2 linked regions of the Diceros bicornis minor genome follow. The protein of the gene in region 1 purifies or fractionates together with the protein of each later gene. This does not show direct contact. Links are inferred from orthologs where the notes say so. Each region holds a gene or a part of one and is shown in the gene's direction. Other genes may lie near its edges. The genes, in order: ESYT1 and SYNJ2BP.

Region 1 (15,376 bases):
GGTCCATCGTCTAGCCTTACATTACTAAGTCAAGTCTTTGGGTCCTACTGTGCTGTTGGGTCGGGTTGCCATGGTGACACGCAAAGCTTGCTGGGAGCTTCCTACAGCTAGGCGCGCAAGTACTTCACACACCGTAGAGTATAGTTCCGGGTCTGGTGGCTAGAGCGACACTTCCGCAGGAAGCGGAAGGGCGATTGGGTAGGCGGCTCTTTGTCGAAGCTACAGGACCGGCAGGCGGCAGCAGCAACTACGGCGGCGGCGGCAGGTGAGGGAGGCGGGAGACTTAGGTGGAGGCCGCGCCCGGAGGGGAGGAGTCGGGGCCGGGCCAGCGGCTGGACTCGGCCGGGCTACACAAGGCCCCCCAGGGCCGAGCTAGTTCTTCGTCACGCCCCATGGCCGATCCCCTTTTCTGAGTGACCCCGCTTCGCGAGCAAACGCCAGCTCCGTGACGTCACAGCCCTGCCCATCCCCTCAGCTTGATGTCACCTGGAGTCCCCTTCCCCGCTTCACTTGGTGCTCGCTCAGCGTCCTGTTCGCCTGCCCCACGGCTGAGCTACGGCGGCACTGCACAGAACCGGCCAAGCTAGAAGACTTGCTGCGGGAAACTCCTAGGACTTTTTTCGTAAACTCGGGGGTGTTGCGAGGCGTCATAATCGCCGCCCCCAAGTGTACTCTGCCATCCCACTGCACTGTCAGGCGCTCTCCTTGCACGGCTCCCCATTCGGAGTTCCTAACCCCAACCCTAGGCCGGGCTCTGATCCCCACATCCTCCTTCATCTTGAGGCAGGGCGCCCCTCACCTTTTGTTCACTCAGGATTGGTTTTCCAACCCATCTTCCTAGGCTCTCCAAATTAGTTCTATCCCTGACTCTTACTGGCAGCTTCTCCCTTTGACAGGTGACTTTCAGTTTGAACCCTAAGGAAATCCTGAAGTGCCCAGAGCTCTTGCCGTTTTGTCAGACTTCTGTCTTGTAACAACCACTCCATAGTCCTTCATTCTTACCCCTTCTCCCACCCAAGTCTCTGTTTTTTTCCTGTTCAGAACCCAGCAGTGATGTGGAGGTGGAGACCCACAGGAGCCCCGGACTTCACCTGAGCTACCTCAGGTATCGAACAACCCTGGGAGAGTTGGGTGGGGAGGAGTACAGTACCATATCTAATTATCTGAGTCTGGTGGGACTTGCGACATGGGTCAGGCTTGAGTAGATGGCATTTATTTTTCACCAGTTCATTTCCCTTTTAGAAGTTTGTATTTTCTCTCTTACCACTCTTTTCCTTATTTTTCTTATTCTGGGACTAGCCCCCTTCGGAGTAAGAGAACCCTTCTTGTACAGATTATCTTGTAACTGTGGCCTCTGGTCTGCTTGGTTCACTGTAGGGAGATCTAAAGGCAAAGTCAAGGCAGTGGAGTGGCTGGGGGGAGATCAAGGCCAAAGAAATTGGAAAGATTCCCTTATGCTCACGGGGAAACAATATGAAGTTTTCCTATTTGAACAGCAGGGGGAGCCTGAACTCTGTCTAGGAAAGGCTTAGGAGGTCAGACACGTGGGGACTCCCAGTCTTGTTGGGGGTGGGTGGGGAGAAGGGAGGGCTAGAACCAGGGCAGTGGGCTGACATTCCAGAGCTCTCTTGGGAAAGAGAAGCCTTAAAAAGCTTTTATAGAGTTTATAAATAAAGAAGATCTTTAATGGGGTGAGGAGGAATGGTGTGCTTTGATGTCAGTGGGATCTTCTCAGGGAGGGGGGGTATAGAATGAGGAAAGAAATGTCACTTATTCCTATGAAATTAACTTCTTCTTCCCGGCGTTGACCTTACCACAGATGGTTTTATCCTTTGGGAATCAATAAGTGGAGATTCCAGCTGTACAACTCTTCCCTTGAAATGGAGGGGAAGGGGCTGACCAAACTGGGGTTGAGAGTGGTGGTGAGCTAGGAGAGAACACTGAAATATGACAAGTTTGGGGACTTCCCTTAAGCTGGTGACACCAGTCTCTTCACTTAGGATTTCCTGGGGTCTAGAGATCTGATACTTCACAGAGCCCTCACCAGGATCCCATGGAAGAGGGGTTAAGGAAGTTTTGTCACCAGTATCCCATTGTCCACAGCCCTAATAACTCACTAGCCCATCTTGGCCACTATTCCCAGTCTCCTCCTAGCCTATTCAGACATCAATAGCAGTCTTTTTTGTGTGTGTGTGAGGGAGATCAGCCCTGAGCTAACATGTGTGCTAATCCTCCTCTTTTTGCTGAGGAAGACCGGCTCTGAGCTAACATATATTGCCAATCCTCCTCCTTTTTTTCTTCCCCAAAGCCCCAGTAGATAGTTGTATGTCATAGTTGCACATCCTTCTAGTTGCTGTATGTGGGACGCGGCCTCAGCATGGCCGGAGAAGCAGTGCGTCCGTGCGTGCCCGGGATCCGAACCCGGGCCACCAGTAGCAGAGCGCGCGCACTTAACCGCTAAGCCACGGGGCCGTCCCAATAGCAGTCTTAGTTTTGCTTCCACAACTTGAATAAGGTCAGTTCAGAAGGGGGAATAAAATCCAACACTATTCTCTCCCTGCCCCCTCCTTGGCCTGTCAACATTAGTGAGATGAGGTGGCTTCACCCCAGCTCCCTCCCTCCACTGTTAGCCAGGCAAGTGTGAATCATTCTGACCCAGGCCAGGTGCACAAGGGCCTGGGCAGGACTTCTCAGAAGCTGGCCAGTCCAGGAAGAATTCTCATCCCTTAGATTCTCCATTTCCAAAGCCATTGCCCCTCTGCCCTGCCTCTTGCTGGACTGCCTGCTCTATAGTCAGGAAGAGTGTGGCCTCTCTGGAGGATTCCTGTTTGACACAGTTCTCCTCTCTCCTAGTGGTCACCAAGGGTGGCAAGAAAAGGAAGAAAGCCCTGAGTTGGAGGGGACCAGGATGCCTGATCGGGACAGCTATGCCAACGGCACTGGGAGCAGCAGTGGAGGCCCTGGAGGTGGTGGCACCGAGGAAGCCAGTGGGACAGGGGCAGGCAGTGGTGGGGCCAGCTCAGATGCCATCTGCAGAGACTTCCTGAGGAATGTATGCAAGCGAGGCAAGCGTTGCCGCTATCGCCATCCAGATATGAGTGAGGTATCCAACTTGGGAGTGAGCAAAAATGAGTTCATCTTCTGCCATGACTTCCAGAACAAGGAGTGTAGTCGCCCAAACTGCCGATTCATCCATGGCTCCAAGGAGGATGAGGATGGCTATAAGAAGACGGGAGAGCTTCCCCCTCGGCTGAGGCAGAAAGTGGCAGCTGGCCTGGGCCTTTCACCAGCTGACCTACCAAATGGCAAGGAGGAGGTCCCTATCTGCCGTGACTTTCTCAAGGGTGACTGTCAGAGAGGAGCCAAGTGCAAGTTCCGTCACCTGCAGCGGGATTTTGAGTTTGATGCTCGGGGTGGAGGAGGAACTGGTGGGGGGGGATCAACAGGCCCAGTCCCCCCAGGACGACGTCATGATCTCTATGATATCTACGACCTCCCTGACAGGGGCTTTGAGGACCATGAACCAGGCCCCAAGCGCCGGCGAGGTGGATGCTGCCCCCCAGATGGCCCCCATTTTGAATCATATGAATATAGCCTGGCTCCACCCCGAGGGGTGGAGTGCAGACTACTAGAGGAGGAGAACGCCATGCTCAGGAAGCGGGTAGAGGAGCTCAAGAAGCAGGTTAGCAACCTCCTGGCCACCAATGAGGTACTGCTGGAACAAAACGCTCAGTTCCGCAATCAGGCCAAGGTCATGACCCTGAGCTCCACTGCACCAGCGACTGAGCAGACTCTGGCCCCCACCGTGGGCACTGTCGCCACTTTTAACCATGGCATTGCCCAGACTCACACTACTCTCAGCAGCCAGGCTCTACAGCCTCGACCCGTGTCCCAGCAAGAACTGGTGGCCCCTGCTGGAGCTCCAGCTGCTCCCCCAACTAATGCTGCACCTCCTGCTGCTCCACCACCCCCACCCCCACACTTGAACCCAGAGATCACACCACTGTCAGCTGCTCTGGCTCAAACAATTGCCCAGGGAATGGCACCCCCACCTGTCTCCATGGCTCCTGTGGCTGTATCTGTGGCTCCTGTGGCCCCTGTGGCTGTATCGATGGCCCAACCTTTGGCAGGAATCACAATGAGCCACACCACCACTCCCATGGTGACTTACCCCATCGCTTCCCAGAGCATGCGTATCACAGCCATGCCACACTGATGGGCCTAATGGACACTACCCTGGAATAGCCTCCCAGGGCTGGGCTTGAGGGGCCCTTACTCACCCACTCGCCTAGCCCTCCCAGGCCCTGTCTGAAGGGCTCACTCAAGAACTAGGACAAGAGACTACAAGGAGTTTGCTTCTGAGAAAGGGTTGGGCTGGTGTGTTGTGTCTCACCTCCCCTGTATGAGGGTCCTCTTGTCCATCTTCCTTCAAGCCTCACAGAGGGGGCTTGCATGGGAGTACAGACTGAAGCCAGCAGAGAGCAAGGACTGACTAAAGGGCTGTATGTCTGCTGATGGGAAGTTGGGGACATCCCTGGTATTGTCCTCTCTTCTGCACAGCACAGGTTCCAGCACTGGCTTTGGAAGAAAAAAATACCCTGCCCAGAGGGAAAGTCAGGAAAGATTGGGAAGTGGGTGGCCAGGAGGGAAGGCCTAACAGGAGCCTTCAGACAATTTGGGGCCTAGTTGAGTTGGACAATATAGGAACTGCTCCCAGGCCCGTGGGAAGGCGGGGACCATAGTACTCCAGCCCAAAGAATAGGGGAGCGTTCATTACCTTGACTTTGCCTGGAAATCTATAGGGCAGGGCCCACCACCTTCCAAAGAAATAAAAAAACAATTATTTTTAACAAATGGAGGCAGTGAAAACTTGCTTAGGTATTCTGTGTGAATATGGGAGCAGTAAATAGATCTCATGCCAAAATGGGATAAAGACCCCACCCTCACATAGCTTGGGTAAGGTTGGAGGGAAGCCAGTGAAGAAGGGTAGGGACCCAGAACAAGACCAAATGGGGCTTTGGGGAAGGCACTTTGTGGGGTAAAAGCATTGGAGCCACCCAGTCTAGTTTAAAAATAGTCCCATCTGTTCTGGTTTCTATGTGCATGTACTATTCCCAGGTTGCCTTAGTAACCAGGGCTCCTAGGGTCATTTAGGGGGGCAGGTACTAAGGAGGGTAGAGGTTCTGGGAAATGGGAATGAGATATGTATTGACAGATCCTTCTCCTATTCAAACAGAGCAGGGCAGTTGGTGATTGTTCTCTGAGTTGTTGATGGGGGTTAATGTCCCTCCTGCCCCATCCGTTCCTCAGTAACCAATGCCTTAAGCCTTCAAGGCTTGGGAGGTGCTGGGAAAAGGAGAGTTCTTCTGGGGACACAAGCCTCAGAGTTCATCCCTTTCTTCCCTCTGCCTCCACGTAGGACCACAGAAGTTTTAAATCTGGTTAAGAGTCAGTAAGGCCTAGGGCCCCAATAGCCAAACCTCAGTTCCTCCTCAGCTCATGGCTGATGTAGGGGAAACAACTCAGGTGTCTAGTCTAATGGGACAGTGGATTTGGGGGTAGAGAAAGTGATCCTGGGTTATTCTCCCCCCATCATGTTTCCTGCTACCTCTTGCTCTCGTCTGGTTGATCACTCAGGTTACACCTGGGGTTGGAGATGGGCTGGCTAGGTCAAGGCTGGTCATTAAAAAAAAAAAGAATGGGCCTAAAGACTAAAAATGGGCAAATACTGAAGTATTGTTTGTGGATTTTAGAAACCACACATTGATAAGCTTAATGTTGGTTTTCTGGCACAATTTTGCATTATTAAAGAGATGGTTTATGAGCATTTAGAGACAAATGTGATCATAGATACCAACATGAACTCATCCCAGCCAAATGCTGACTGACTTTATTTTCTCTTTGCCAAGTATCTCTGAAGAGGTAGATCTGGGAAACTGCAGACATTGTGTGTCCTTTATTAAGGTATTCCAGCTAAAGACCACCAGGAATAGACCTGTAGTTGAACAAGTTGTGTTTATTGCTCCTTGCAGTGGTGGAGAGAGCATGCCCTGGGGAACCGTGGTATTTCAGCAAGAGGCTGTTAGAAAGAACTTGTAGGACTTGGCCTTTGGTTAAGTGATTTGGGGGAAGGTTCAAGGAAGTGGGGCTTCACTCTGGATTGGGTGCTGTCAGGGAAGCAGGGATAATTCTGTGATTGGGTGTCTTTATCTTATCTAGAAAAAGGGCTGACTAAAGTGAAGCTGAAGCTGCAATTGCTAATGAAGCGGAAATCACTCGTTAGCTGGCAGAGGGGGATGTTTGCTGTTTTTTGGTTTGCATACTGACCTTGTTTTGTGCTTAAACAAAATCGTGCAGAGGTTTTTTTGCCTCACTTCATCACAGTCACTGAGTGCACTTCTCTGATAGTGGTGTTGTGTGAAATTGTTTGAGTCCAACAAGAGAGCACCATTTCTTAGCTGTGATCGCAGGTCAGCCCCCAACAACTCTGAAGCCTGGATGTTCCCAGATCAGGAGTTGCTTTCCTCTCTCTCACCTGCTAAGTCATTGCAGATAAGAGAATAATTACGGGTCAGTTAATAGTAGAGTTTGGTGGAATCAAAACTGAACATTTGTGCCTACTAACTATTAATTAGTGCATTCATGTTAGAGAAGTCTCTTGTGATATACATAAGGGCTATGTTTTATTTAAAAAAAAAAAAAAACTTATAAGAAAAGCCCTGTTATCAACAGTAACAGAGAAGCACTAGGTGATACTGAAAGTGTCTGTAACTTGGGTCAACTAAATTAATCCAAGGGGTCAATTTGGATCAATTTTGATTGACCCTCCCTCTAAAAAATTGCTTGAACCTGGCTGAGGAACAAATGCAGAGATCTGCATTAGCAGTAATTCACATGAGAACAACACGGGACTTCCAGTTGGCTACCAAAAATTAAAATCTTAGTCCTCATAATATGTCAGTTCATAAAAATTAAGAGCCTGCTATGTTCTAGGCACCTTTCTAGGAGCTCTGTTAAGGTAACCAAACCATAGTCATGCATTGTAAATATAGCAGTTCTACCGTGTCTGTCTGCGTGGAACCATTCCTAAAGTATTCTGTGTTCTTCTCAATGTAATTTTTAAAGAAGGCCATTGACAAACCAGTGGAATAGGTGAGCAAAATTGACAAGCGAAGACTGACGGGAGACCCAATAGATGTCTTCAAATATTTGAATGGCTGCCCAATAGAGAAAAGGTCCTGTCTTGCTGCCTGGGAAATACACAGGGAGTTGTAGAATAACAGCTAACATTTATTGAGTACTCAGTACAAGACAGGGCACTGTGCTGGGCACTTTACATGCAATATCTCATTGACACGATGGGTACTATTTTTGTACCTGTTTTGCAGAGGAGAAAGCAGGCTTAAAGAGAGTAATCAGCCCAGGGTTCCACAACTAGTAAGGAATGGAGCCAGGAATCTATTCGGGCGGTCTGACTCCAGACTTGGCATAAGAAAGTTCTAAGGATAGAGCCATCCAACAATGGGACCACTGCTTTGCAGTAACTTGCAAGGAATAATACAGAGGAAATTTCCTCAAATCCTGTTGCCCCTTCCATCTTGGAGAGTGAGCTGGGACCAGATTACCACGTCCAACCCTCTGCCTCCCCTAGGAGGCAATTGTAGTTTACATATAAGTGCAGATTGCAAATCCAGGAAGTCTTGGTACTCTCCTCGCTTAGACACTTCCTCTAACAAATGGCCATCCTTTTTCCTGTTACCCACTTACTGCTTATCACCACCAGGTGGCACCTGGGCAGCAGAATTGTCAATGGGCGGGGACCCATCCTGTTTACTTGTTCTCTGGTGCCTGCATTGCAGTTGCTAATCCTGTGGCTCCTGGGTCCCAGCTGGGAAGAGACCTTCCTGAGGATGAGCTTTCATCCTCCATATACCATCTTCAGTAGGAGGGTCTGATGAGCGAGATGGGGTGAGAAAGGGGAGGAGTTTGGAAAGGAACCTCTATAGGTCACCCTCTCCATCCCCCAGTCTAAGGGACCCCCCTCCCCCTACTCCAGTGCTTTGCAAATTTCAGTTTATAGAGAGGTTTCCCTTTAAAGAATTTCATCCATTTTCCTCCTATAGTTCTGCTTCATCAGTTGGTGAGCAGATCACTTTTATCTCCTCCAAACTCCTTGAGCTCCTTTTCTGCCTGCTCACCTCTGAGAATATGGATGACACAGGAGGCAGATAGAAAATTGTTCTTTATACAGTTCTGCAAACTGAATGAAGCAGCCTAGAGACTGTTAGCCTCAGGGAAGTAGAGAAAGGGAAGTGAGAAAATTTGAGAGGAAGGCTGGGCAGCGATAGGTTTTAAGCAGCTTTGATGAAACACAGCCTGATGAAATCCATGCCCTGCAGAGCCAGATAAAACTTATCAGCTGCCGACCTAGTCTCTCCCCAGCAGTAACCCTGGTTTGCCTGCTGTGTCAAACAGAATAACACAAGTCCCACATATACTGCATTAAAAGGTGATCATATTATGACCAACCCTTCCCTCCTGGACTTCCAGTTAGTCTAGTTTCTAAGTCTCTGGACAACACTCCACCTCTAAATCCAGTTAACTAGTAACACTGGTCATCATCAATGTACCCTGCACTCTCCCCTTCCTAAACCTGCACAGTTCATGTAGAACTGCATTAATTCTACATCTGACTGTATTCCAAACCTTCCTTCTAACTCAGGCAAATGAAACACAGAATCGTCTCATTACTCTTGATTTCTCAACTGCTAGTGTCCTAGCAGTTCCTCAGGGTCAGGAAATTCTTGGAAAGTGTAATCATTTTTGCTGCAGCTGACCGCCCACCCACCCACTCCTCTTTTTGGAGTCGATCTAGTTTGGAGTCGGTCTGCGCTCTATGATAGAGATAGAATTGGAGATAGAATGGACTAACTCTTGGAGATTTCTAAAAAGAAAGCAAGCCTCACTTCCTCTTCACTCCGCTTTTTTTTCTCTTCCCTGAACGCTGGATTGTCTCATCTCTGTAATTCTCGGATTTTCCAGTTTTCTCTAGTGTCTGTCGTTACACTGCACAGACAACGTAGAGGACTGGAGACACGATAGACAGCGTCGTCATCCAACACTTTCATTCCCAATAGGGTAATTTCCTTTCTTTTTGTAAGGACAGCCAGGAAAAAATTGAAGGATAAAGAATGTGCTTAGAGTGTAAAAACTAGGGAAAGCTGACACATGAACATGTAGGAATCCCAGACCAAACCCTGCCAAACCGTCCGAATGGAGTGGAAGGAAATCCTGACCCTTCACAACTCAACTTCGCGACTCCAACTCCCTCAAAAACCGAGTAATTGGCGGTGCGGCTCCGCATGACGTCATACCACAGGCACTCCAATCCCACGTGGGGGACCCCCTGCGCCCTGCTCTCTTCTTTAAATGGTACACCACGCCTCCTTCTCTTTCTGGCCAATCAAATGCCGCTCTTTAGCCTCTTTCCTCCTTTTCCCGCCGTCCCAGATCTCCCATCTGGGCACTCTGGTCCAATCAAGGAGGTCCTGCCTCTTCGGAGCCCTATCCCCTCCCCGCGGGAGAGGGGCAGGGTTTCGATCTTTTGACTCCACCTTAGTCTGTGCGGCGCGGACCAACCCGAGCCGCCAGAAAGAGGGGGCGTGGCTTGAAGTCCCCTCCCCCATCCTGGGGTTTACGGTTTGCCGCGGGGAGCTAGTTGCAAGACGCGGCAACCTCCAGTCGGTGTGTGGGTCGGGCGGGTCCTCCCAGAGGTGGCACCATGGAGCGCTCCCCTGGAGACGGCTCCAGCCCCAGCCCTAGCCCCGTGGACCAGCCCTCTGCTCCCTCCGACCCCCCTGACCAGCCCCCCACTGCTCACACGAAGCCGGACCCGAGTTCTGGGAACCAACCTGCCGGCCCCAGCGCGGCGAGTGAGGTCCTGGCGGTGCTGACTTCGTTCGGGCGGCGGTTGCTGGTGCTGGTGCCGGTATACCTGGCCGGGGCAATAGGACTCAGCGTGGGTTTCGTGCTCTTCGGCCTCGCCCTCTACCTGGGCTGGCGCCGGGTCCGCGACGAGAAAGAACGGAGCCTTCGAGTAGCGCGGCAGCTGCTGGACGACGAGGAGCGGATCACGGCGAAGACACTTTACATGAGCCATCGAGAGCTGCCTGCCTGGGTGAGCGACCATCCTCGATCCTCAGTGCAGCAGAGCCCCCTTCTAGCCCCTCAGTTCTAGGGCTCTCCCTCCCTACCCTAAAGTCAGTGCCCCACCCTTGGGACAGTGGGCCGCAGACTTTCCCCTCTCGCCCCGCTAGCCACCGGCCTCTGGGACGCGGCACTCTTGGGACCGGCTCTCCAGTCTCCTTCCCCCGCCCCCCGGCACGCCCAGATCCCGTTCCTTGCACAGAATCAGTCCTCCTTCCTCTGCGCTTGGCAAGAGCAGTAATGTTGGGGAGCCCGCCTCCCTCCCAGCCAAGCCGCTGAGCGCCTCTCCTCGCCCTGGGGCCACTCGCGCCGCGGCCGCTCCTGGGCATCCCCGCACCCGCTGCCGCTCAGACGGTTCCCTCATCTCTCCTGTCCGTTCAAGACTTTGTGCCTATTTAAGGCCATTGGTTCTTCTTCCTTTTCCCCCTCTTATTCCCGGGTACCCGCTGGAAGCCAGCCCCGGGAGCACTGCCCCGCCGAGCCCCCGCACCTGGACGGACCCTCCGGCCCTCGCCTTCCAGCCCCAGGCGGCCGGGCCGCAGCGCAGCGGGGGCGGCTGCTGGCCGAAGGGCGGGGGTGCTGGGGGAGGGGATCGCGACTGCGGCAGTGCCCGCTGCCCACACTCCACCGCCCCTGGCCGGCCCCACCCTTTTCCGGACTGTGGGCTGCGCGTGCTCGGTCGGGGCCACGACCCTTGTTTCTACTCCCCCCCTCCTGTGGTGAGGGGCCGGATGCCTTCTCTCCGGGCTTGCAGAGGCAGTGCCCAGTTACCCGGCCCCTCCCTGCCTCTCCGGTCCTACTTCTCCCAGCAGAGGTGCCAGTCTAGGGGGAGGATGGCAGAAGAGAGGAATCAAAGTTGACACTAGGCAGGCAGAGCCATGCTGCCCAGGCCGGCGACTGGGGAGGGGAATGGGGGAAAAATAGTCCAGGCAGCAGCTGTCTCTGATCCCCCTACTCCTCCTCGTGGAAACTAATCTTCCTCCTGAAGCGACTACCCTTTCTCTTCCCCTCCACGCAAAGCACAGGTGTCCTTCTTTCCCATAAAAGGAGTCACACTGATAAAAGGAAGAAGAAAAACATGGCCAGGGCCTAACCCGCTCTTCTGGCCCCTCCCTGACTCCAGGGGCTGGTTTCCTCTTCACCTTCTTGGTATACAGCCCCCAGTCCAAGGGGAGCAGGGAAGGCTGGAAAAAGGAACCAGGACTTCTCCAATCCCAGGATTTCCTCCTCAAACTCTGACTTGACAGGACCACCCCCTCCAGAAAGAATGTGCCCTTCTCCCTCCTCCTCTCTGCCCCAGCACCTGTCATTTCACATCCGGGAGCTATCCACAAAACAACTTTGTGTCAGCTCCCCTTTTCAGACCGCAGTGCCCCCAAACCCTGAGGAGGAATGAATCCTCGGACATCCTGGCCCCTCCCCCAGCCCCTGGGTGTGAGGAGGCCCTGTCACACTTATGTTTTCTTTTCTCTGGGGACATCCCACCCGGCATCTTAGTAGGAAACCACTGGCAGAGGGTGTGCTCATTGTTATCTCTGCCTTCCTCACCTCCAGGTCAGCTTCCCAGATGTGGAAAAGGCTGAGTGGCTAAATAAGGTGAGGGTTGATTGTCTTGACTTTTGTTTTTCACAAGGGGGAATGGAGTTCGTTCATCTTGCCAAGCCCTACCATACCTCAATTCTAGCCCCATCCCCAGTGCCCCCCATGGGGCGGATTCTAAAGCAACTTGCCTTTAGAGGGAGGATTGGGCTCTCCTATGATGGGCTCCCTTTCCTCTCAGATTGTGGCCCAGGTCTGGCCCTTCCTGGGCCAGTATATGGAGAAGCTTTTGGTTGAAACTGTGGCCCCTGCTATTCGAGGATCTAACACCCATCTGCAAACGTTTACATTTACACGCGTGGAACTGGGAGAAAAGGTATATGTGTAGGGGGAAGTAACGCAAGGGAGGAGATGGGACAGGAAAGGTGGGTGGCCAGAAGGGGCTGGGGTACTCCTCTCTTTCCTTCTCCTCTCTCAAGAGTTCTCTCTCCAGCCATTGCGCATCGTAGGAGTCAAAGTTCACCCTGGTCAGAGCAAAGAACAGATCCTGCTGGACTTGAACATCAGGTAGTGCCACTCACCAGTCTTCCTGCTTCCCCTTCGACAGGATCCTGGTCCCTCTGACTACTTCACTCCCCCTGCCCCCCTTTCAGCGTGATACTAACCCTCTTTCTTCTCTTCCTCACTAAACCCCAGCTATGTAGGTGACGTACAGATTGATGTGGAAGTGAAGAAATATTTCTGCAAAGCAGGAGTCAAGGGCATGCAGGTGGGGCAGATCTCAAGGGCCCCCATAATAAGGAGGCTTTGCCCTAGGTTTTATTGGACACAGGGAAGTGGGAGGTTGGAAAAACCAAGGCTGGGAAGTCTGGGAGGAGGAGAAGGCCTTTTCTGAGTAAAGGCTTTGATCTTCTCTTGCCCCAGCTACATGGTGTCTTGCGGGTGATCCTTGAGCCACTCATTGGGGACCTTCCTATCGTGGGGGCTGTGTCAATGTTCTTTATCCGACGCCCGGTAAGGGAAAATGTTGAGGGGGATGGGGAAGCAGGGGAAACAGGATTGGGAGGGTGAGGATACCAGCAATGGGGAATAGGGGAGAGAATTGACAAGATGGCTGAGGGGTGTGGCAACTGTTGGATGAGTGTGACCACACCACCATAGGATCTGTCCTGATCCCCCTGCCCTTTCCTTTCAGACCCTAGATATCAACTGGACAGGGATAACCAACCTGCTGGATATCCCAGGACTCAGGTATCAGGGACTTACTGAGCACCTGCTAAGTGTTCCAGCCCTGGCCTGGGGGTTTAAGGGATATGAAGCAGTAAATAGTGCAGCCGATGCCTCCAGGAGCCTTGACCCTGGTTGGGGGGATAAGACAGATACCCCCTGAAAAGTTTCATGCTGTGACTTCTCTTCTGTGGTGGGAGCATGCATTTTGGTAGAGAATGAAGAGGGCTGCAGACTGCTCAGCAGGAGCAAAAAAAGAAGGAAGAGCTGGGATGGCAGTGAAGGGACAGAGCAGTGGGAGGCAAATTAGGGTAGAAGAGTAGCAAAAAGGGATTTTCAGAAAGGACTTCTCTCTAGCTTTGGGTCTCTCTTGTTGTGGGAAACATAGCTGGGGGTGGGAGGATATTGGAAGGTGGGGCCACACTCACCTCCTCTTCTACTCCCACATTTAGCTCACTCTCTGACACCGTGATCATGGACTCCATCGCTGCCTTCCTCGTGTTGCCCAACCGATTATTGGTGCCCCTTGTGCCCAACCTTCAGGATGTGGCCCAGTTGCGTTCCCCTCTTCCCAGGGTATGGCCTCTTCCCCAGGAGATAGATCCTTCTCTCGGACCCTGTTCTGGGTCCTTAGTTTCTTGCTATCTGATTCCTACCCTCAGGGCATTATTCGGATTCACCTGCTGGCTGCTCAAGGGCTGAGCTCCAAGGACAAATACGTGAAGGGCCTGATTGAGGGCAAGTCAGACCCCTATGCACTTGTGCGAGTGGGCACCCAGACATTCTGCAGTCGTGTCATCAATGAGGAACTCAACCCCCAGTGGGGAGAGACTTATGAGGTGGGAGAGCTGAAGAGTGGGGCTGTGTGAGATGGGGAGGCCCCCGGAGGTTGTGAGAGAAGATGCTGATTGATGATCCTCGCAGCTGCAGCCCATGAGGCCCTGATCCCTCTGTGTTCCTCAGGTGACAGTGCACGAGGTCCCAGGGCAGGAGATTGAGGTGGAGGTGTTTGACAAGGATCCAGACAAAGATGACTTTCTAGGCAGGTGAGACTCTGCCTATGTTAGGATTCTAAAGCCCCAGTGCTACAAGGTCCCAGAGGTAATTATAATCCTTTTCTGGGCCTGGGAATCATGTATCATTTTCCTTCCCAACCTCCCCACCCCTTGCCCCCACCATTCATGCATGCGCGTGTGCACACACATAAATATCTCCTGAGTGTAAGTTGAAGGGAGTCTGAGATTTGCCAGTTATTTCTAGGTGGGTGAGTGGAGGGCCAGTGACAAGGTACTAATTACAACACTCCCCTTTTTTCCCTTTTACTGCCGCTCCCTTCTGCCCGACCCCCCAGAATGAAGCTGGATGTGGGGAAGGTTTTGCAGGCTGGAGTACTGGATGATGTAAGTTGAGAGAAGAGGAAGGTGGGGAGTGGTCTCACCCACTGAGCAGACAATAGTTGCTCCACTGGTGGGGAAGAGATGGGTGCTTGATCTCTTCCCACTTTCTTCTACTTCTCCTTCCAGTGGTTCCCTCTTCAAGGCGGGCAAGGCCAAGTTCACCTAAGGCTAGAATGGCTGTCGCTTCTGCCAAATGCAGAAAAACTGGAGGAGGTAACCAACGTGGGAAACAGGAAGCTGGTGGGGAGAAATGGGTAGCTGGAAGTCTAGAGGCCTGGGGGAACCAAGGTCTGACTACTACCACCCCACCAGGTTCTACAGTGGAATCGAGGCGTCTCCTCCCGACCAGAGCCCCCATCAGCTGCCATCTTAGCTGTCTATCTGGATCGGGCCCAGGATCTTCCTGTGAGTGTGGCTTCTGAGGGCAGGTGAATAGGGAGCCCTGAATGCACATTCCCACACCCTCCTTTGCCCCTGCCTGCTGTGTTCCAGAAGCAACAACATGTAACACAAAGGTTCCAAGGAGGGGATCAGAGCCACGTCAAGGAAAAGATTCTGATGAGAGCCCACCTTCCTTCTCTGAAACAAAACCAAAACACCCAAGATGGTGACTTCTATATTCTACCCCCTACAGCTAAAGAAGGGGAACAAGGAACCCAACCCTATGGTACAGCTGTCAATTCAGGATGTGACCCAGGAGAGCAAGGTGAGGGCCAAGACATCATTGTGGGAGATGTCATGTGTGGGGCCAGTGGGGGAGGGAGGACTGTTCTTGGGATGACGTCTCCGCGTTAGAATGCCTATAAGGGCTAGGGTTTTCTAGAGACACAGGAATGGTACTGTGCAGGTACCCTTAATCTCATCCTGCACATCTCCAGGCGCTCCACAGCACTAACTGCCCGGTGTGGGAGGAGGCCTTCCGGTTCTTCCTGCAAGACCCTCGAAGCCAGGAGCTTGATATACAGGTGAGATAATCATTTGGCCCCTCCTGAATACCCTATCCCGTC
Region 2 (15,550 bases), on another chromosome or scaffold:
TCAAAAACTACTACTTCAATTCTGCCTTCCAAAACAAGTACACATTTTTCTTTTGGCAAAGTCTCAATTACAGCCATACAGTGAGAAGGATTCTGGGAAACTTAATTTCTAGCTTAACCAAGTTAAGCTAGATTTAGCACAGCACAATTTATGACATTACCATTGCTATAACTATCACTACTATTTTTGTAATTTCATCTGCCCCATGAGAAATGAATTTGAAATTCAGAAATGGGGTGTTTAATGTAGTTGTTTCTAATCTACATGCTCATTTATGAACTCTGAATCATTACAGCAAGCTACCAGGAATCCTAATTGCATTAGAGTCTCTGGGACTGGGGGAGGGAGATGTACTAGAAAGAACATCAACACTTAAGCCATAAATTCAAATTCCGACAATGCTTCTTTCTAGCCATGCACTCTTAGTCAAGTTAAAATCTTCCCTCATCCTTAGCTTCCTCATCTATAAAACAGACTCAGCAGTACTTACTCCAAAGGTTACTGTGAAGATTAAATTCACACCTCCCACCACTAGTTAAATGATAAAGTGGACTTTAAGGTTGACACTAGAATTAAATTTCACAAACCAAGAGATGATAAAGTCTGCACTATCATTGGGGAGTGGGCGTGGGGGGAGAGTTGGTTTAGAAAGAATAACTGAGAGGGGATCTTATAGTCTGCTCAGGGACTGTCTGAAAAATTGATCCCGTAACTCAAATATCCTCTGGTCCAATTCCAGGACAGTTAACTTATTTATTTATTCAACAAATACTTAGTGAATAATCACTACACATGCACCATTGTACAGGGGATACAAATGGGAAAGACACAATTCCTCCATCTAAAATCTAATGTAAGTGGACAGATAAAATGTATAGCATGATACAATGTGATAGAGGCACATTAGAAACCTGAAGTACCCAGACAGAAGGCAAGTAAACTAGTCCTGCCTGGACAGGAAGAAAGTGTCAGGGAAGTCTGCCTGGAAGAGATAACGTCTTTACCAAGATGGAAGGATAAACTGGAATTATCCAAGAAGAAAGGACAGAAGAATAATCAGGGTACAGGGAATAAATAGAATATGCAAAGGCAAAGAATTTTAACAACTATGGCAAATATGAGAAACTGCTTATAACTGAGTATAGCTTGATATGAACTTAGATTCTATTGAGAAGGAAAGTGAAGATAAATAAGTAAACATATAGATGAACAAGATAATTTGACATGTAGTGATAAATTCTACAATAAAGGAGAAAGGGATACTATTCAGTATTTAGTGGTCAGGAATACCTCACTAAGGAGACACCATTTTAATTGAGATGTGAACAAGAAGTCAGGTACGTGAAGGTCTGGTAGCAGATGACCCAGCGAGTGCTATGGCTGAAAGCAAGAACATGTAGAAAGAAGGCCAGTGTGGTTGCAAAATTGGGCGGGAGGGGTTTGGGGGAGGGTTGGGGAGGATTGGAGGGGTAGGAGGAGGGATAGACTGTGGTAGTAGATGAGATAAAGAGCTAAAAGGGGCTGAGTCATATAGGCCCTATAGGCATCGTTAAGACTTTGGCTTTTTTTGTAAAATGGAAAGCCACTGAAGGGTTTTGAGCAGGGACATAACATAATGCAATTTGCACTTTTATAGCAAGAAAATATTAGAAATGAAACATAAAGGTAGGGAAAGCCAGATCATGAATCACTGTGTGCCCTACTAAGAAATTTGGCTTTACCTGAAGGCTAAGAGAAAACACTGATGGATTTTAAACAGGAGAGTAATAGGATAAAATTTGGATTCTAGAAAAGATAATGTGGAAACACGTGGAGGATGAATTTAAGATGTATAAGACTATAGCCAAAGAAACCATTTAAGAGGTTCCTAAAACAATGCAAGTAAGATTTCAAGGATATTAACTAAAGAAATTAATTTAAGAATGGAGAGGAAGAAATAGTTTTGATACTTAAGCACAAGGACTTATTGATTGATGGAGGAAGGGAAGGCAGGAGGAAGGAAATTAGAGAGAGAGAGAGAGCAGTCTGAGATATCTCCCAGGTTTGGTACTTAAGTTGCTGGGTGTATAGAGACATGATTCACCTACACAGAGAGTAAAGTAATAGGAACAGGTATTTTTTATGAATGTCTTAAATGAAGGGACTATAAGCCTTGTCAAAAGTTTCTTAGACAAATTTATCTCAAGCACATGTCAAATTTTATTAACTTCTTAACAAGGAAATCAGTTAGGTGACTAAAAAAAGAAAAGTGGAATAATTCAGAGACATTATGAAGGATTGTATAGGAGGGAAACAATAGTTACTTAGGCAGATAACTGAGTTTTTTTAACAAAAAAATTGAAGATTCATTTCATAAGGTCATAAAAATATCATGTTCATATCAGTTGTTACAAGAGAAGTCTGTGAAATGGTGACTGAAGATGCCAGGCAGGCCAACTCTCTCCAAAAGGGAAAAACAGCACATTTAAGCAGCTAGTGATAATACATCTGGGTCTGATATTGGAATAACAAGGTTTTGTGCCCCAACGGCAGCGTTTGATAGGGTCAATTACCATGAAAGCATGAAATGGTGTCAGCAGAGACCAGAAGCAACAAGTTCTAATTTTAAAGAGACCATTGCCAGTGTACATAAAAGCTGCAAACAAAGATGCAGAATATATACTTTATCCAGTTGTTAGCAATGGGACAAAATCTTCTTTTGACAGGCTGAAAACAACAAGGCTGCCTTTGTATATACATTTGTTGTATATAAAACAAATTCCTTTGTATTCATTTTGAGGGCATCAGCAATGTCAACGGGAATAGCTGAAAGGAACACAGGCAGCAGAGCAAGGACACTAGTGGGAGCAGCATGTGATGAGACAGCAAATGACAACTGCAGTGTGACCTTCAGCAAGTGACTGATTTAAGTTTCACCATAACTGAAATACATTCATTCACTGAAGGCCCACTACGTGCTACCCACTCTTCTAGGTATTGGTGATAAAGCACTGAACAAGAGGGAGTGGGAGCAGATGGCACAGCACGTGCAAAGATCTAAAGCAAAAACAAATTTGTCTGAGGAATAAAGAAAAGGCCAGGGAAGATGCAAAGTAGTGAGCGGGGGAACAGGGTTGTGGTAGTACATGAATTAGAGAGCTGGACAGAGGCCAGGTCACGTGGTATCTTATAGGCACTATTAAGGACTTTGACTTTTATTCTAAGTCAGATGGAATCGATTGAGGGATTTCAAGCAGGGGCATGACATGATCTAACTCACATTTTTGTAACATTGTGCCAACGGCGACGGGAAGAATGGTTTGGGGGTGGAGAGTGGCACCAGCGCAAACTGTTAGGAAGAACAGCAGAAGTCCAGGCAGTAAATATTGATGGTTTGGAATAAGAAGGTAGTAGCAGAGATGGTCAGATACAGACTATATTTTCTTGTATGTAGAGACAACTGGACTTTCTAATGGGTTGATGTGGGGTATGAAGGAAAGAATGGAATCAAGAATGGTTCTCAAGATTTTTATTTGAACTGGGTAAATCAAGTTACTCAAGGAAGGGGAAAGACTAAAGGAGGTACAGGTTTGGGGGTATGGGTATCAGGAATTCTAGTTTCATCATGATAATTTAAGATGCCTATCAGGCATTCAAATTTTGAGATGACAGATAGACAACTGGATTACACAAGACTGATGCTCAGTGAAGAGGTGAGGGCTGGCATATTAATGGCATTTATAGCTAGGGGACTAAATTAGATTTCTTGAGAAGAGAGTGTATATATGCAAAAGAATGGAGAGTATTAACCAAATGCCTGCTAGAAAATGAGATAACTGTAAATGCCTTGCTGAGACTTGCTATTATTAGTAGTTGGGGCCTGAACTGTAATTTTCCCCAAGAACTTGGAAATTAACGAAATACTGCTATCAAGGTTAAACTGTAAAACCAACATGTAATGGGCCAGAGCAGAAATATGCAATGCCACCTTAAAGATACAAAACAGTTCCAAAATCTGTAAGACTTCACTGTAATCTGTGTTATGGGATGAATAGTGTTCCCACAAAATTCATATGTTGAAGCCTTAACCCCAGTACCTCAGAATGTAACCACATTTGGCGATAAGGTATCTAAAGAGGTGGTTGTTGTTGTTAATGCCATCAAGTCGATTCTGACTCCTAGCAGCCCTGTGTACAGAAGCCCCAACCCTGCCTCATCTCTTTCACCATCCTCTCACCTTCTGGTGCAGTATCAGACAATGCTTTGCTGCTATTCATAGGATTTTCCTGGCCAATTTTTTCGGAAGTGGGTGGCCAGGTCCTTCTTCCTAGTCTGTCTTGGTCTGGAAGCTACACTGAAAGCTGCCCACCATGAGTGACCCTGCTAGTATCTGAAATACTGGTGGCATAGCTTGCAGCATCACAGCAATATGCAGCTGCTACAGTATGGCAACTGAACATAGGTGGTGGTTCCCTGACCGGGAAACAAACATGGGCCGCAGTGGTGAGAGCATCAAATCTTAACCACTTAGACCACCTTAACAGAGGCAATTAAGTTAAAATGAGATCTTTAGGATGAGCCCTAAACCAATATGACTGGTGTCCTTATAAGAAGAGGAAATCTGGACACTGATAAGTACCTGCACAGAGGAAAGATCATGTGAAGACAGGGAGAAGACAGATATCAACAAGCCAAGGAGAGAAGTCGGAAACCAACATTCCCCACACCTTGATCTTGCACTGCTTCTGGAACTGTGAGAAAATAAATTTCTGTTGCTTGTCACCCAGTCTGTGGTATTAGTTATGGTAGCCCTAACAAACTGATACAATCTGATTAAACGTAATAACACAATAAAGTAAAAAATTGTGTCAATCAGAAAGGGATTTAATCACCTAAAGGAAGCAGAGAAAAAATAAAATATGCAAGAGTTTGAAACCAAATAGGTCAGTTCCAGGGCAGCAAGTTGGAACAAATGCCGTATCAAAGAAGATGTGGATAAATCCTAAATGCAAACACGTCCATGAGCTGGTCATCGGAGAGGCAGGTAAAATAAAATATTGAAGTAGGAGGCGGCAGGAGCAGACAGGAGACGGGAAAGTCAAAGTGAATGTATGACATGAAACATGCTAAAACAGTGCAAGGTATGAGTAAAGTACCTCAAGGTGTGAGGCAAAGTTTCCACTTATCTTGTAAATAATAGGTTGAAGACACCAAGTTTCACACTTTTTACATAACTCAAGGACAGAGGTCCTAAACAGAAAGGCTAGCTCACACAGAAAGTGTCACTTCTTGTGTCAGAGACTACCAATGGCCTCCCAATATCCATTCTTACCTTTTAGCTTACAATAGTAACCCTGATTTTTTAGTTGTCACATTTCCATCCCACTAAAATATAACATACCCTAGGCCTCCCTTAGAGTTAAGTATAACCATGTGACCCGGTTTCTCGCCAATGAGATATAAGAAGTGTACGAAACTTCTAAGAGGTCTCTGTAAAGGTATGGGGTGAACCTTTTCTTCACTACTTTCTTGGAATGTGGATATGATGGTTGAAGTTCCAAAACCTATCTTAACCATCTGGGACCATGAAGCAAAGGCTGCATTCCAGGGATGAAGGCTGGAGAGGAGACAGAAAGCTGGAAGGAACCTGGGCCCTGGTGACTGAGGAGCCTTGATATGAGCCTTGAACTATTTCCAGAGTTCTTTAATGCAAGAAAAATAAACTTCCATCTTAGCCTACCGCATATAGAATTAAGTGTGCATCTCTACACTCCAGTGTAGTATTCCTTCACTATCTGTTTCTAGCTTATTTTTTCAGTGTTATCACCTACTAACCCATTCTGCTTTTTCACTCATAGACTCTATGTTCCATTCTCTATTCCCTAAATACTCCCAACACTATCCTGATTCCATAATTTTTCTCAATTGTTTTCTCTGAGTGGAAACCCCTATTTCCTCTGTTTTCTGCCTTCCTACATATTAAAGTTTCCTCAGTCTTAAGAACTATACAGATCTTCCTCGACTTACGATGAGGTTACATCCTGATAAACTCATTCTAAGTTGAAGATATTGTTAAGTTGAAAATGCATTTAATACACCTAACCTATCGAACACCATAGTTTAGCCTAGCCTACCTTAAACGTGCTCAGAACACTTAAAGAGCCTACAGTTGAGCAAAATCATCTAACACAAAGCCTACTTTATAATAAAGTGTTGAATATCTCAAGCAATTTATTGAATATTGTACTGAAAGTGAAAAACAGAATGGTTGTGTGGGTACAGGATGGTTGTAAGTGTATCGGTTGTTTACCCTCATGATCATGGCGCTGATTGGGAGCTGCGGCTCACTGCCGCTGCCCAGCATCATGAGAATATCGTACCGCATACTGCCAGCCTGGGAAAAGATCAAAATTCAAAATTCGAAGTATGTTTTCTACTGAATGCATATCAGTTTTGCACCATAGTAAAGTCGAAAAATCATAAGTCGAACCATCATCATAAGTTAGGAACCGTCTGTACTAACATTAATGTATAAAGGCAACTTATACGCCTAAGCTGTCATTCCACTTATTACCAGCATTTCCTGAACTTATTTCATGATCCTTTTCCTTTCACCGCCCCACGTGTTTCTCTTGAAGTTGTATGCTCAGATGAAAAGCGCAGCTTCCCAGAGTAGAGATTTCCCCCTCAGCAGTCTACAAGAAACTTTGCTGGGACTTTTCTTCCAAACTTCTTCATTGATGACAATCTTGATTTTCTTTTCCCAGTTCCATTTGGTCTCTTCTCTCTTGGTATTCCAGTGTCACTTACTTATACCTTACTTTTTTCACTTATCATACTGTTTTTTATTATGATCATTTTATTCTGTCATTCAATCAACATATGTTGAGGAGGGCTAGAAGCAAGGGTGGCATGCATCTGAGTTTAGAGTTGAGAAGTAATATTTAAAATTTTTTCTCACTTAATCCTTTCAACAATCTTTTACAGGTTACATGTCTATTATCATGCCCTTCTTCAGATGGGGAACACAGTTAGGAGATGTTAGGTTACCTGCTCAAAGCCAGACAACTGGAAGAAGATGGAACTGAAGCTTGAGATCAGGTCTTCTGACATCATCTCCTGTGTTCTTTCCACTATTCCATGTTAACTTCTTTCAGGATTAGCAAATAAGAGGACTTCCTGCTGAGTCAGCCTCTTTCTTGTCTTGTTTGGTAAACACAGTAGCTTCTGGTGTGATTATTTAACCTGAATTTGAATTCCTTAATTGGATCTGCACTTTTCAATCCTCCAGGTCCCCATCAATCCCTGTCGTCTAACTCCAGATTATTTCTCACCTTTAGGTCACCTTCCTGGCCCTTAAGGCTTTTGATCCCTGAAAGTTCCTTCAAACCCTGTTTTGGAATTCTACCTCAAAAGTCAGGAAGGCTGGGCTGAAGTCAATAGCTAGTTCATCTACTAGTCTTACTGTAAGGATTTAAAAAAAAAGATTGAATTTTCCCTGTTAGCAAAAAGAAGAGACATTTACCCCTCTCCCTTTTCTTAGAGGATTTTGTGTAAACTTGTAATTATAAATCCTTCCTCTGTCCCACACCTATCTATCTATCTATCCATCCATCTATCTATCTTTTTAAAGCTAAACAAGCTTCTTGTCAGGTACAACCCAAGAAAGTCAGGTCCTGGGAGCCAACTGTTTGAAATGTAAATATCAAGGAAGTTAGTGCCCCATCTCCCTGTCACCACAGGAGTTAGCCTAGGCGCGTTGCTCCAAGCTAAGTACCTGCTTGTTCTAGAGATAGAGGTTTTATTTCCCCTCAGGATAAGGCAATTAGCTAACACAGATGACCACCCCAAGGGTGACCTACCAAAGCAAACGGTGTTAAGTCCTCTTACATGAGAACCTGTATGTAACGGATGGTATCTGCTTGGCTATATAAAAAACTGACATTTCTGTCTCTTGGCAATCGCATTATCGGACGCCCAGCCCACTCTGGTTTAATGCTTACTGAATAATAGAATTCTCTCCCATTTTTTTTTTCCTACATTTGTGGAGATTTTCTGAGACGGCAGGAGATTTTATTTTTAATTTTTCCTCGACAATATCAATTCATTTATGACTCTTACTTTTACTATCCCCTCACCCCCCACCCCCAATAGTAAATTAGAACACTAATTTCCTGCTAGCTCACCTCACAGGTTGTTTCGAGGGCCGGCTGAGATAACGCAGCACGTCTGCGGTCAGAACCACAACTCCCAGCATTCCTGGCGCTGCCAGCGCTCCCGGCTTCCTCTTCCGGTCCGGGGGCTGCTGAAACCGAAAGTGGTGTGCGTTGGGCGCCGCGCGGAGGCTGGTTCGTCTTTACCTGTGGGACCCCTAGTTGACCGTGGGAAGCAGACAAGCAGGAAAACATGAACGGAAGGGTGGATTATTTGGTCACTGAGGAAGAGATCAATCTTACCCGAGGACCCTCAGGTATGTGAGGAACAGGTCACCTCTGGGAGTAGGGTACTTGAGGGTGTAATTGGAGAGCAGACGCTTCTGGTGCTGAGCCGGATTCTTTTAGAGTCAGAGCAGGCAGGCCCCAACCTAGAGGTTTCCTGCAACGCTTGTGAGCACGTAGGAGAATATATTGGCATCCATCGTTAGCCAGAGACGGATCAGCTGAGGAATCCACCTCGTTTTGCAGTCGATTACCACATGTGTTTATAGTCAGGAAGGGTTTCTTTCTGCTACTGATACTAGAAAATCCTGGAAAAAAGCCTGCTTTTTAGCTAGCATGCGATGGACACCGCACCCCTCCTTCCATTGCCTGCTCTATCCTTGTTCCTATGAGAGACTGTTTAGTAAAAAGGGGGGGCATAAACGGTGTGAACTGTAAATGTATAGGCGTTTTCTTGCTGCTAGTATCCTTCCCTCCTTCCTTTCGTTTCCGGGAAATTCATTTAGAGTGTCAGCTAGAACGTTAAAGCAGAAAGAAACCTTAGAGATCTGTTAGAGCAGTTCCCAAATCCGGGTCTGCCTCACAATTACCCAGGGTTTTTTGTTTTTCTTTAAAAAAGTTAATTCCTAGGTCCTATCTCTAGGAATTTGGATTCAATGCAGGTGGTTTTTTCTTTTGTTTGGGTTTTTTTCTTTTTTAAGCAAGCGCATCCTGTGATTCTGATACCGCCAAATCCTCACTTACTCCTCGGTCCTCTTGCCCACTGGCGCTTTCCTCTGGACCGGGCTCATAACATTACTGCACGCTGCCTGCTTTGGATTTTGTTGCCTTTCCTTTACAGCTGTCTAGTGTGTCGATTAAGAGCTTTAGCTTTGGGATTATGTAGGTCCAAGTCTGGTACCTAATCTCTTACTAGTTCTTTAATATTTATTGGCTGACTGTCTTTACTGATGTTAGCCTTAGTTTCTCATCCTTAAAATTGTGCATAATAATAGAATATATTTCATAGAATTATGAGAATGAAATGAGTGAATCTATGTAAACCATTTAGAACATTGCCTGACATGGTAAGTACTATGTATGTGTTTGCTGCTGCTGTTGTTACTGTTAATAGATGAATGGCTAGATTAATCTGATAATTCCTGCTAAATAGTGTTATTCTGAGAGTCTCCAATAAGTCATCAAGTACCATGAGCTCTATTTCTGAAATGGCTCTATAAACCTTCCACTCCTTTCTATTCCTATCACCACTATCTGGAACAGTCCATCTTTTCTCATCTGGAATTTTGCAATAGCTTGACCACCACTCATGGATTATTCTTCATAAAATATGGCTTTCAGCATCATCTATACTTCATCTTCTTTCTTGTTATAAAAAACTAAAAGTGGATTTTATTTATGAGACTATAATTCATTGCTAATCTGCATGGTTTAGTGTCACACTCCATATGAACTCCCAAACTTTTGTCAAAGGCTCATTCAGTATGCCCAAGTCTCTTAGATTCACTTTTCCTATTTTATGTAAATTTTTCCTTCTCTCACTCTCACTTAATATTTCTTGACTTTTGAGGCAAACATGGAAAATTATTTTTAAAGCAAAATCTGTTTTTCTATACTTTTTCATTCATTGGTAACTGTTCTTCTCCCAGGGCCAATTAAAACAGTGGTAGTTCTTTTTCTGATTGCCCTGCAAGTATTAAAAGGCATCTAATGGTTCTGTTCCCGTTTTGTCTCTTCCTTCTGTAGCCTAAATATCCCTAGTTATTATATTAGCTCTCATGTGATGTGGTTTGAGGGTTGATTCTTGTCTCCTTGCTTAAGAATTTAACGTACTTTGACATAGTCCTTTTGCTGCAGCATTCATAGTGTTTCTAGGATCTCCTGACTAGAGCAGAGCAGACCTCTGATATTGCGTGTTCTAGTCACTAAATATTTTTAAAGTTCAGTGTAATATCACTTCACCTTTTTTGGTATTTGCATAACCTGTTGCTTAATGTTCAGCTCACCATTCACTAAAATTTCTGATCCTGTTGATCTTGCAGACTTAAAGTTCCTTATGTTCGCGTTTTTCTGAATCGTTGAAGTTAGGACAAACTTCAAGGGACTAATTAAGAAGAATAATTATATCTAGCTAATATATTTCACTCAAAAGTGGTTTAATTTCTGTATTGTATGTGCATTTATTCCAAATGAATGGATTTACTCACCGAGTGACTCCTTTAATTTTCCTAAGCATTTTCATGTCTTACTCGTTTAAGTTGATAAACTTAAGAGTTTAGGAGAGGAGAGCCACAAATTTAGGATTGAACTTGGATAAAAACAGTCATTGGAAATTTGATTGGTTAAGTTAACAAGAAAAGGTTTCAAGTTTCTGTTTATAACCTCCCAGAGCTAGTGACTTGGTATGTGGAACTCCTAAGAAATCCCACGGTCTAATTCAGCTTTTCTTCACTGTGTGGTCATGAAGATAACACAGGGAAGAAATCAGTTATCATCACTAGAAACTTCCGATAATTTTGGTAGTCACGTAAAGATCTTTCTTTCTATAGAAGAAATATGAAAAGCCTCTAGTTCTACGTATATATTTCTGTTTGTAGGCAGCGTTGTCACTCTTTGTCTATGTCCCACTTCTTATGCAGGGACCTGATAGTTTAATCAGGTAACTGCAAGAATGTATATATACTTTTGCTTTTTTGTGCCAGTGTTCTGTCACGGGCAAGACTCTTAGATAATTCCAGTTTTGGGGCCCATTTTGCAAGGCAAATGAACCTATTCTGTCTGATCTTGCTTACTGCAAGGGAAGAAATGAAATCTTGGGAAAATTATGACAAAGTGAGTATCTGGGGAGGCAAAAAGAAGCTTGGCATCTCTCTTATGCCTACTTCCTCAACTGTGTAAGGAGAGGCTTAGGCAGGATGACTGCCTTCCACTTCCAAGAGTTCATGATTCTTTGGCCCATTCCATGTGTTATTTTATGATTCCTGCCATTTTGGACTAACAGTGGGTGGTCTGAAGAATCATCAAAGGCAGTGGTCACAATCTCAAATGCCTTCAGGAGTTTGAAGAGTTCACCTTTTATCCTTTATGGAACACTGTTAATCTCTTTTCTTTCTATGGGAGTCCAGCTTGATTATAGTCTCTAAACCTCCTACTTTTTCCTTTATCAAGCTGGGAGTTCTGGATTTTGGAATGATTCAGTTACTCTAAGAAGCGTGACAAGAATCTAATCTAGCTTTTTTTCACTCTAACAGGTAGAGATTGGCCATAAAGACAACCCTACTGCTCATTGGGTATTAGGATTAGGATTCTTTGTTCAGGACTGAGGCCTCAGTGGGTTTCAGCAAGTTGCTCCTGATACACTATCTTTAAAGAGGGAAAAGAATCTCTGTTCTTTTTTTTACTTTCTTTAAAGGAGTTGCAAAGGATAATAGGTTGGTACAGTGTTTTAATAATAAATAATTAAGGAAGTATTATCTTTCTGGCGCTGTACTAGTTACTTTATATATATATTAACTCATTTAATCTTCACAGCAACCCTGAGTAGTAAGTGATTAATCCACATTATTAGATGAGGAAATTGTCTCTCAGAGAGGTTAAGGATTTGCCCAAGATCTAAAGGCAGTAAGTTTCAAACCAGGAATTTAACCCAGATCTGTTGATTCTGCTGTTCCATATATTACCTCCCAGTGTAGTAGCCGTGTCTAAATAGTTGACTGCCAAGCTTTCTCCTGACTTTTATTTTGTTATATCATGCCTTATTCCCAGAAGGATTTGAGGCATCTTAAATGACTAACACAATCCTCAGTGGAAAGTTTTTACAGTTTGCTGTTCATAGAGCTAAGGACATATCAAGGTGAGAATCTAAAAACAAGAAACCCCATTAAGTCCAAGCGTTTAAGCCTCTGCAGACCCGTCATGTGCTTTGGGTTTAACCCTGAGACTGTTGCTAACAGTTTTCTGACCTGTTCCCTCATGTACCAAATAGATCTGAGACTAAGTGTTATATCCTCACCCTGTTTTCTCTTGATAGCGTGAAGCCTAGCCCTCATGGAATCTATGTTCCAGTGGAGACATGACATTCACATGTAAAAAGTTAAATCATTGCAAAGGTGCAGATGGTTAAGGACTATGATGAGCATGTATGTAGTGGGAGGGCAAAGGAAATGTGGAGAAGAGTGTGTTAATCTGACCCTGTGCTGGGAAAGTTCAAAGAATGGAGCCATTTAAGGGCCAGACTGATCAATTACAAGAAGGTGGGACTTACGTTGGTCTTATGGACAGGCTTTAGGCTAATGCCAGGAACAGGGATGGGTATGACCTAAGCAGTGATAGAGAAGAGAAAATAAGTAAAGCATATTCTGAGGTCGGTGAGTAAACAAGCCTGGATAAAGGGAGGGTTCATTTAGGAGAGTTAAGGGAGATGAGGTTGCTGATGTAGGTAGCGACTGGGTTATGAAAAGTTCTCGATGCTAGTGTGGAAACTTAATCTTTCTCTAAGGTTCCCTCTTGATTCCTTCTCCTTTCTATTCATTGGTTAAGACTCAATTCGAGAGTCATCTCCAGGAAGCCTTCCTTACCTAGGCTAGATGCCCCCTTATTATAAATATCATACACCATCTATTGCGTACCTGTCATGTATTGCCAAACTAAGCACTTCGTTTCATCAATTCCCAACAAGGAACAGATGAAATGGTTGTTATACCATTTTGCAAATGAGAAAACCTTGACTCCTACGTCACACAACTCTTTAAGTAGAAGAGTTAAGAATTGGATCCAGGTCTGTGTGACTTAAAAATCGAGGCTCTGAACCATCATAGAAAGGTTTTTTTTCCTCCTTATGCTCCCACAGGGCTCTGTGCATACCCTATCTTAGTGTTTATTTCTATATTTGCTTCCTTACTTGTGTCTCCTCCTCCCTCTACTTCACTCTGAGCTCTTCTGATTCAAAGGATATGTATTTCATCTCTTGTTTTCCTAATGCCTTGCCTAGTGCATGACACAAAGTGGTCAGTAAAAGTTCATGAAATGACTTAAGCAAGCTGATGAATATCAGAAAAATATAATAGAATGTTAAGAGAATCAGTAACGTGATCTGTTTCAGCTTTCAAACAGTCATTAACAAGGTTCTCCACTAAATACAATTTAAGAGAGAAGGAATGAATTTGGACATAATGTGTTATAGTGGATAGGAAACTGACTAAGATACCAGAAACAAGGAGATGGAATAGATGGAAAGCCACGTAGAGTGAAAAGAGTATATGGTACCAGTCTCTGAAAATTGCTTCAAGGATCTGTCTTAAGATTTTTTTCAAGATAATCCTTAAGAATAACTGTAAAGTAAAATATCTAGGAATTTGGAGAAGTAGAAAGGCAAGCTGATAGATGCTCAACTATAGAAACATTTTGCAAAGCCATGTGACTAGGTAGTAAAGTAGCCAGTGACTGTATTTGAATAAATACAAAATTATTTATTGAGGAAAAAATCTATACTTAGATGATAGAATCAGAAGAAACTATTGGTTTCGGGAAACTCAGAAACAAAGGGAAGCTATTTTTAAAAATATCATTTAGGGTTTACTATGTGCCTCCACTATGATTAGGAATCATGAATACTAGAATAAAGAATAAGAAATGATCCCTATTTTTAAGAATTTTGCAGTTCAATAGGAGGATAATTATGATAGGCATGTGCTAAGTACCCTCAAGAGGTAGAATAACCAAAGAGCTGTGGACCTTCATAAGATATGTTCTGTTCCTTGTGAAGTCAGACTCAATGGACCATTTCAGATAAAAGACCCAAGAAGATATTAAATGCCTTTAGAAAGTGTTTCGGAAAGAAATTAGATAGTGTCATTCTCTCCTTGTACAAACTATGGTATATTCATGCTGACCACAATGTACAGTTTACCATATGTTGGGCAAGAAGCGTAGAGTAAGAGAAAGTTGAAAAGAGGGCAGTGGAGAGGGTGCAGGTTGGGATATGAGGCAAAAATGAAGACACTGAAACATTTTGGAAGCAAGGGAGCAAATGGAGACATGATCTAGTAGAGACCAGTCATATGCATTTAGAGCTTGAATATTCAAGGGCTTATCCTGGAATGAGAGAAGATGGGTGCCCACCTAGATATTTGAAAGATGTTTAGGGGCAATAAAAAGAGGCCCTGGTGTCCAACCCGGCTGGTACTGCCTGAAACATCTTTGGTGGGCCATATTCTTTGTTGCCCCATCAGGTGGAGCACCGAGATGGGGAGAGACTGACCATGGGCATTATACATTTTTTCTTGCACCGTCTGCCTGTTCCTTTGAGGTTAAAGATTTTCCCTGTTTCTCTCTTTGTTTATTTGTCAGTGCATATTTGTTACTGTCTTTTGGGAGAGGTAACAAATAACAAGTGCCAGATTTCATCTTTGGACCAGAGAGTTTCTCCAGAGAATATAAGAGTTTTAGGTGAAAAGATGCCTAGTCAGGGGCCAGCCCTGTGGCGCAAGCGGTTAAGTGTGGCACGCTTCGCTGTGGCGGCCCGGGGTTCGCCGGTTCGGATCCCAGGCTCACATCGATACATTGCTTGTCAAGCCATGCTGTGGCGGCGTCCCATATAAAGTGGAGGCAGATGGGCATGGATGTTAGCCCAGGGCCAGTCTTCCTCAGCAAAAAGAGGAGAATTGGCAGATGTTAGCTCAGGGCAGATCTTCCTCACAAAGAAAAAAAAAAAAGATGCCTAGTCATTTAAGCTCTTCAGTCACTTATTTGAATCATTCATTCATTCATTCAATTCATACGTATTTATTGAGTGACGACTGTAGGACAAGTTTCTGTGCTAGAGACTGCAGATACAAAAGAAAATTGAATTTCAATCTAATTGCAGTGAGCAGCAGAACATAGTGATTAAGAGCCAGAATGCCTGAGTTACTAGCTATGTGACCTTGGGCAAGTTACCTCACTTCTCTGTGCTTCAATTTCCTTAGCTATAAATTGAGAGTGTTAATAGAACCCTCTCATCGAGTTGTTATGAGAATTAAATGTTTTTCTTGTTGTTCTTTGTTTTACAAATACTTTTATAGTGTTGACTCTACCAGGCTCTGTTCTAAGTATTTTACCAAAAGATAACTCATTTAATCCGTTTAAAGTGCTTA

Evidence for each region.
Region 2: the proteins of ESYT1 (region 1) and SYNJ2BP purify together in Homo sapiens (affinity purification with mass spectrometry; 4 studies listed by BioGRID and IntAct, with this or other methods). This does not show direct contact. The link is inferred for Diceros bicornis minor from reciprocal best matches to the Homo sapiens genes ESYT1 and SYNJ2BP.

The regions. Positions count from the first base shown.
Region 1 is NC_080756.1:12,635,879-12,651,254, reverse strand, and holds the start of ESYT1 (extended synaptotagmin-1), read left to right. Parts: upstream 1-9,718; 5' UTR 9,719-9,781; coding exon 9,782-10,177; intron 10,178-11,760; coding exon 11,761-11,802; intron 11,803-11,986; coding exon 11,987-12,121; intron 12,122-12,238; coding exon 12,239-12,312; intron 12,313-12,441; coding exon 12,442-12,514; intron 12,515-12,669; coding exon 12,670-12,759; intron 12,760-12,940; coding exon 12,941-12,996; intron 12,997-13,424; coding exon 13,425-13,548; intron 13,549-13,634; coding exon 13,635-13,811; intron 13,812-13,935; coding exon 13,936-14,018; intron 14,019-14,323; coding exon 14,324-14,372; intron 14,373-14,495; coding exon 14,496-14,582; intron 14,583-14,681; coding exon 14,682-14,774; intron 14,775-15,003; coding exon 15,004-15,075; intron 15,076-15,247; coding exon 15,248-15,334; intron 15,335-15,376. Other genes in the region: ZC3H10 (zinc finger CCCH domain-containing protein 10), read left to right, coding at 2,909-4,216. UniProt on the Homo sapiens protein: Binds calcium (via the C2 domains) and translocates to sites of contact between the endoplasmic reticulum and the cell membrane in response to increased cytosolic calcium levels.
Region 2 is NC_080763.1:18,766,787-18,782,336, reverse strand, and holds the start of SYNJ2BP (synaptojanin-2-binding protein), read left to right. Parts: upstream 1-8,290; 5' UTR 8,291-8,385; coding exon 8,386-8,449; intron 8,450-15,550. UniProt on the Homo sapiens protein: Regulates endocytosis of activin type 2 receptor kinases through the Ral/RALBP1-dependent pathway and may be involved in suppression of activin-induced signal transduction.